2 linked regions of the Rhinolophus ferrumequinum genome follow. The protein of the gene in region 2 interacts with the protein of the main gene of each other region in a biochemical or structural test. Links are inferred from orthologs where the notes say so. Each region holds a gene or a part of one and is shown on either strand. Other genes may lie near its edges. The genes, in order: NOLC1 and KBTBD8.

Evidence for each region.
Region 1: the proteins of KBTBD8 (region 2) and NOLC1 form a complex in vitro, tested with the Homo sapiens proteins (2 studies listed by BioGRID). The link is inferred for Rhinolophus ferrumequinum from reciprocal best matches to the Homo sapiens genes KBTBD8 and NOLC1.

What each region holds. Positions count from the first base shown.
Region 1 is NC_046299.1:22,809,544-22,813,459, reverse strand, and holds the start of NOLC1 (nucleolar and coiled-body phosphoprotein 1), read left to right. Parts: upstream 1-1,096; 5' UTR 1,097-1,183; coding exon 1,184-1,303; intron 1,304-3,856; coding exon 3,857-3,912; intron 3,913-3,916. UniProt on the Homo sapiens protein: Nucleolar protein that acts as a regulator of RNA polymerase I by connecting RNA polymerase I with enzymes responsible for ribosomal processing and modification.
Region 2 is NC_046300.1:60,788,912-60,792,827, reverse strand, and holds the start of KBTBD8 (kelch repeat and BTB domain-containing protein 8), read right to left. Parts: upstream 2,899-3,916; 5' UTR 2,833-2,898; coding exon 2,817-2,832; intron 2,490-2,816; exon of another isoform or gene 2,354-2,489; intron 2,206-2,353; coding exon 1,995-2,205; intron 1-1,994. UniProt on the Homo sapiens protein: Substrate-specific adapter of a BCR (BTB-CUL3-RBX1) E3 ubiquitin ligase complex that acts as a regulator of neural crest specification.

The sequences.
Region 1 (3,916 bases), on a different chromosome or scaffold from region 2:
AGGGGCATTAAATGGGAAGTAGTCAAGGGGTAGTGGGTAGGATTGAAGGAATTGATGTCTGCTGATGTGAACTGAAATATGATAGAATTTGGAATTGGCAGGCCTGGGCATTGACATTTGAGTATTCAGGACAAAGGGATAGGCAGTTGGGGGGTTTTCTAGATCTATGTGAACTGTGACCCAGGAGGTAGAAGGGTTATTATCAGGACTATAGTTTGAACAGATTGCTGCTGTGTCACCCAGGTTTGCTGCACAACCCCTTTTACCTTCATGGAACTAACAGACTGAGTAAGGAGGGGAAAGGGTTGTCTTATGGGCAAGACATGAGTGAGGGAGGGACAGTTTTGGGGATCAACACTCCACCTCTACCACGGATAATCTGAAGGATCCTTTTTCATAGAGGTGGGAATCCAGAGGCTGGGGTGGTATCTGAGAAAGGGTCTCCCTAGGTGTTGGAGGCGGTGAAGATAAAAGGGTGGGAATCCTTTGGTAGCGAGGAGAATGGGGGCGGTTGGGAGATCTTATGCCGGGCTAGAGCAGGGGTGTCAAAACTGCAGCCTGCAGGCCAACTGCGGTCCGCAATCCATTGTTAATTGGCCCACAGCAAATTCCAAAAATATATTTAGTTTACTTAAATAAACCAGGTGAGGCAGTATGTACTGCACCTGGAGTGAATGGCCCAGCTGTTTGTGTATTTTTCCACATATGGCCCTTGGTGAAAAACGTTGAAAAAAGGTTGGACACCCCTGATCTAGAGAGTCCCAGGATAGCTCGAGCCCACGGGTCCACATTACTCTAGAATCCGAATCCCAGCTAGGGCGCTGGAAAACTGCTGCTGGGAGAAAAGGTTCCTCCTGGAGAAAGACGGCGCGGGAAGTCCAGAGTTTTCCCGCCATGGCCGTGGGCGTGACCCCTTACGTCAGGGCTCCGCCTTCACAAAGTGGCGGCGGCAGACTCCGCCCTTACCAAGATGGCGACACTCCTGGGACCGGAAAGAGTTTACAGATTTCGCCTTGACCCTGCCTCCAGGTGGAGGAGGGACTGCCCTGTGGGGTGTGCCCGCCCCTTCCGCTGTGCGCTCGCGCGGCGCGATGGCGTCACAGGGTTTGTCCTCGCGTCTCCGGGTTCTTGAGTTCCTCTGTCGTGCGTGTCGGGAACGGTAGTGACGCGTATTGCCCGGAGGATGGCGGACGCCGGCTTGCGTCGCGTGGTTCCCAGCGACCTGTATCCTCTCGTGCTCGGCTTTCTGCGCGATAACCAGCTCTCGGAGGTGGCCAATAAGTTCGCCAAGGCAACAGGCGCTGTGAGTCCCGGGCTTGGGGCACGGGCCGGGTGGGATGACCACGGGGCTCCCGGCCCTGACATGCTTAGGTTGCCAGGTAGGTCGGTGGGGTCTGCCAGCACAGTGTCTGTGGCGCCTGTGCGGAAGTCTCCGCGGTGACTGGAGAAAGCCTGGAGCCCACGAGGTCTGATTAAATAGCGCTGAGTCTTGCTGCTTTTTTTCTGGTGAGCAGTGCTCTGGCGGCAGCGTGGGACCCTCGTGGCCCAGATCACGTGGCTGGCGAGTGCGGCGTGGAGGGAGTGCCCTGTACCACCGGAGGGAGGCATTGGAGACTCCTGGTTCATTCTTTGGGCCTTACGTTGGCTGATGCCAAGCGTGACTAGATTTTAATTCTTAATCGAATTTATCCTGGATTCAAATATAAATAAAATTGCTTTAGAAGCCTGGGGTTTTCGTTAGTAAAGAAAATGAACGAGAGTAGAGGCAGGGTTCTGTTTTCAGTTATACTGAAGTGGGATTGAGCCTCATATCCCTACCAAGCAGGCACAGCAGTGGGCTTGGATCTTTGACTTGTGGAATCAAACACATACAGGTTTGGGACCAGGCTCTGCCGCTTAAAGATGTATGACTCCAGCTTGCTTAAACTGGATCAGTTTCTATTTCTATGGGGATATCGTCATTCACTTTATAGGATTTTTGTAAGTTTCAGTAACCTGTATTCAAAATGGCAATCGCAGTGCCTGGTGCTCAGGAAGCATCAGTGAGCGAAAGCTGTTATAGTTTTGGTAACTGAAGATGTTCCAAACAGTAAAAGGAAGATGACCAGGGATGTAAAAGGTTTGGAAGCTACGTCTCAAGAAAAACAGACATGACTGTATGGGAAAAAACCTTAAGAGAGGGTAGAGTGTCTCGCAGTGCTAGTCATTGACGAAGAAGATAAACTTGTTATTTGATGCAGAATCAGGCTGCACAAGTTGAGAATCCGATCAGCCTCAGAAAGGACTTCCTTAAGCTGGGGCATGCCTTCCTTAAGCTGCCATGTGATCCGATATAACTGCTTTCATATTGGAACTGGAATTGACTGTTAGGGAGGCTGCAAAGAATGTTTCCACAATGGACTGGATGGAATTGGCCCTTTCAGAATTGGGATTCTTTTTTATGTGTCAAAAGCTAATCTTTGTGGAGGGCTTACTAAGGGCCAGATGTTTTCCAGATGCTAAACCCTTTATGTGCCTTATCTCATATCCTCTCAACAACTTAAAATGTGTAGTGTTAGTCATCTCCATTTTATAGAGAAGAAAACAAGCTTAGATTAAGTAGTTTGCTCATTTAACTCGGAGCCTGTACTCATGTGTACTGTAATGCCTTGCCATTTTTTGCATCAGTAATACAGAGGGTGCCAAAAAAATGTATACACATTTTAAGAAAGGAAAACTATTAAAATTGTAATAATCAATATATACCAATAACAAAAGATGAATTCAAGTCTTGTTTGACTTCTGCAATTACAAGAGGTGCTCAAAGTGGTTACCATCAGCACGTCCAGACACTTCCTTTTTTTTTTTTTAATGTAAGAGAATAAATCCACTTTATTCAGTTTTCAGTAAGTTTAAATCCTTGAGGGGTACAGCATTACATGGATTCTGTGTCCTATGGCCTTAGCAGGAAGGTTGCTTTGGCATTTGGCATGAACCATGCCACTGTTTCCATGGAGTTACCTTTCCCCAGATTACTCTGGTTTTGTTCGGTTTGCCACCAGGAGTCACTGTTGTTCTTTGCCTTGTACACATAAGCACATTTCTTGCCTGGGTAGAATTCAGTTTCATCCCGAGCATAAACACCTTCAGTTTTAAGAAGAGTTGTGTGCATTCTCTGGTTCTGTAGACCCGCTTATAGCTAGCAAAAATGGCTTTGTACCAGCCTTCCAGACATATTTGTTGTTTTAGAAGTCCTGTTCCCAGCAGGCCTCCACAGGCTCCAAGATCCAGACACTTCTGATTACAGGCGAACTATTGCTTGAGCAACATTGACCAAAGTATCCACTTGTATACATTTTTTTGGCACCCCCTGTATATACTAGTGTAATTAGTAGCTGGATGCAATTCTGTACTGAATACATGACATACATAGCTTTTTACCAATCTTTTCTTGGAGGCTGTTTTCCAGTGATTTGGTTTTATAAATCATATTGCAGCAAACATCCTTTTTATAAATGTTTGTGCCCTTGTTTCATGGGTAAGATAAATTCCTAGATAATACGTTGTTAGAGTAAGGGAAATGCACATTTTAAAAATCTTTGATAAATAGGATGGACAGGTGAGGGATACATGGTGCCAGAAACTATAAGACTAGCCCAAGCTTTTGGTACCAAAAATTGGGAAATACATGAAGAGAATATTTTTTTCCTAATTTGTGAAAGTAGGAGAAGTCACACAAAGTTGTAACATTTATGTGAACTATAGCAGGTATAAAGCAGGTCATTTAATGAGAGAATAACAAAATCTGATCTCCCCTAGAATAACCAGGATAAAGGATAAATTATTTTTACCCAGTCTCTTTTCTTTTCTCCTACAGACCCAACAGGATGCCAACGCCTCTTCCCTCTTGGAAATCTATAGCTTCTGGCTCAAGTAA
Region 2 (3,916 bases):
TTAATCTGACAAGTCACTGGCATCATGAGACAGTCATGCCAGATTCCAAGCTATTCTAATTCTTCCACCAGTGATGCAAGATTTAGAAACTATTGTTATACCTTTCTAGATCTCACATAGGGAGCGGCACTGGGCCAAAAAACTTCTGTACGAAAACCTCTAGTAAGACATAAAAACCCAATCCTTACGTTTCTAGCCAAATATCTTCATTTGAATTCATGTATCTGATGCTTAAGCATTTCCTTAACTTCTTGGAAATTAAAATCTATTATACCATATTCTCTTTTAAAGTGTCTTGTGATGGTCTAGGTCTTCAAAACTAATTTTAATTAAGTATGACACCAAAATGATATAAGAGCATAACATTTCAGTAATATACAGACATTTTTACTTTGAAGTCTAAATATTTCCTGTGTGGTTTTTTTTCTTTGTTTGGTTTTTTACTATTCAAATCTAATGTAATAAAAACTTCTGAAAGGCAACTTTAAAGAGGACCCACTCTCGTTCCTTAAAAGTCATATAGTGACAAAGAAGCCTGGCACTGGAATCAAATCCAGCCGCTGCCCCTTACTAATAGGTGATTTAGATAGGCCACTTAACCTCCCTGAGCCTCAGGATTTTTTTCATATGAAAAATGGCAATAACTATGCACAGACAGAATTGTAAAGTTATATAAAGCAATATATATAAAGTAAGCTTAGCCAACAGCTTGATAAGTAGTTAATTATGACATATATTTAAATGCATAAATGACCTACCCATATCTAATGGACAGTCTGGATAAGTGAATCTCACCAGCAGTTTTCATTACCAGGCCAAACTTTATACCTTCTGTGTACTGTATGAGTTTCTTCTTTTTTCTTTCCAGCTCACTGTCTTGTGATAGTTAATACTTAATAGTCTAATGACCTACCCTAGGCAAGTCTAAACAGTTAAATCACAAGTATCTGACTGAAGTGACTATATTTAACCCAGTATTCTGAGAAAGAGGAACCAGAAACTACTGCCTGGAATACTATACTGCTATATGCCCTATAAAGGTAAGCACCTTCAAAAGGAAAAAGCACACTTAGAGTGTGATTGAGAAAATTATTTCTTGTCATTCATGCACCATTATTGAACATTGAAAGGCTTTGCAAAGTGAGCACTTGAAACAAAAGAATTTAGACTCAAGCAGGAAACTGCCTTTATCACTGATATTTTCTTAGAGTATGAAATTATTTTTTAGACTCAAGTTTTAAAAATTTACTTTTCAAAGTTTTGTGATATACAAAGATGTGTATAAATGAAAATGAAAAATTAGCTTAAAAATACTTCTGGAAATCTTGGGGAAAAAAATCACTAGTCTGAAGTATGAAATACACAGAAACTATATTTTTATGTCACTGCTTTTACCCCCATCCTCACCCCCCGACACACACACACCCATGGTATTTAAACAACCTAGTAAGGTGATTTGTTTTCAAAAGAACAGGCTATCACGTTTTAAACTCTAAAGGAGTTACATGCACTACAGAAATATGCACCATGGATAAAATTTTGTAACAAATTCTAGACCAGCACTGTCCGATAAAACTTTCAGTGATAGAAATGCTCTATATCTGGGCTGTGTATATGGCTACTGAGCACATTAAATGTGGTTAGTGTGCCTGAGGAACTGAAATTTTAATTTTAATTGTAAATAAAGTTTAAAAGGCCGCTTGTGGCTAGTGGCTGCTATATTGGGCAATGCAGTTCTAGATTTTCTGGTCATTTACCTGAAACAAAGAAGCAAAACAATATTCACTAACTTAAAAAACAACCACCTGAATTCTAAAAGAATCCAACAAGTCAAAAACAAGAGTTTAAAAAACAGGGCCTGTGACCTATTTTAGGAAACAAACTCATTGGTTTCATTTCATTGTAGCTCCTCAGTGTGGTAATGAAATGGCCAATGCTGAGGGAGAAAGGGAACTTGATGCGGTTATCAACAGAAGTTTCTACCATTATCATACCTGAAATAAGGGCTGATTGCAGCAAGAACGTTTCTATGACAGGAGAATGTTTTCCCGTGATCCACTTCCACTACAATATCTGTCAACTGTCCTTCGTCGTACATTGTTTTGAGTTGCTTAAGAATACTGCAAGCATGGAAGGGGTCCATGGCATCGTTGGCTGTGTCTGAAGATGGAATCCCATCCGGTGTTGGGGAAGACTTATTTAAATCTAGGAGGAGAAAATCGTACAACCACAGTAAGTTCGGAACCAGTTACGGCGTAGCGGGCTTTTTTTTTTTTTTTTTCCCTGCTTTGTTTGCTTGGCTTGTTTTTTGCCCCCCCCCCCCCCGTACAAAAATACGTGTATGTGTACATACACCACCAAATGGGGCCGTGAGGTAGGATCTGGGAGAAAGCGAGCTGCGTTGCAAGTTCAAACACCAGCCTGCTGCTCCCGGAGCCAGGCGAGCCCGATGCCCCGTGCTCGCGGAGGGACCGTGCGGACAGAACAGGCGAGGTGTCTGTGGCGACTGTGCCGAGAGCCGGAACGTCCCAGCCGAGCGGAGGGCAGGAGCCTCACGAGGGACGCTCAATGGATGGCGGCCGCCAGTACCCATTCAACCCGAAAGTGTCGGAACGGCGGCGGGTACCCGGCCTCCCCATCCCTGTCCGGCCGGACCGCCCACCGCCTTCCACGCCATCCATCCTCCCTCCCCTTATCCCTCTTCACCTCTCCATCCTTTCTTCCGGCTCCGCATCTCCACTTCACAGCTCCCAGCCTGAGCCCGTCCCCCGGCCCACCTCCCCCGCAACACACCTCCTAGCCACGATACGACCCACCTGCCGACGCGGCCATTTCTCCACGGGGCCCCGGCTCCAGCTATTTAAAGAGGAAATGTCATTTCGCTTCTCTCTCTCCCGGGTTCCGGCTCTTCTAAGCTTCCCTTAGCCAATGGGGTGGCCTATGCATCCGGCTCCACCCCTAGCCTTCCGTATTCCTGGCGCTGATTGGTCACAACGTGCGCAAGACACCTCGGGAAATGTAGTTTTATTGCCTTCTCTCCCGCGTGGTCCGGGTCGGGCGGAGGCCCAAGTCTGGTATTCCTATTGGCTGGTTCTGGCGGAGGTGGAGAGTGGGGAGCCTGCCAGCCTGTGTCCGTGGAGCGCGCAGTGCCTGTCGGGAGAGGTAGTCTTCTGGCGAAAGAGAGCTGTCATTCTGAGAGGCTAGGGTAGGGAAAGCTCTTGAAGTGAAAATTTCCCCATTTTAGGCCTTCCTCAGGCCCCCGGGTTATTTATTTATTTATTTTTTTAATCTTGCTCTTCATTCCTTAAACCTCCTGCCAATGACTAGCTTCCGGTATGAAAGCAGGCTATGAAACAAAAAAACAAAAAAACTTGGAAATGGAGAAGAGGGCTGTTGTCCAAAACTGCGAAGGAAATCTGACACCCCACCCTGAAGAAAAATATCAGGAGGCCCAAAAGCAACCCATCTTTGATGAATCACCTGTGACACCCAATTGAAATAGCATCGCCTTGGCCGAGTGCTTCGGTTTCCACAGATTAACTTGGTCTGGTTACAAGGGCTGCTCGGGATCTTAACTCCCAGTCGTGCCTTGCTTTTCTCAAACACTCAGAGAACACCTGTTCCACCTTTAAGAGCACGTGAACCTTATAGAGGGATTCAAGATGCTTTCCTTTTTGCTCCCGTGAAATGGAGGAGTTAAGATACTAAATACAAGTCTGGGATTTCCTTTGAAGAAATACTGGAGAGTGCCTTGAGCCTGGAGCCAGGGACGATTACTGAATCCCTAGCTCTTTACTTACTAAATGCGGGACCTTAGATAAGACCCTTTAATTCTTGAGCACTTAGCTCCTTTACCTGTAACATGTGAATAGTAATTCCTATTCTTAATGCCTCATAGGCTGCAAGCCTTACGAAA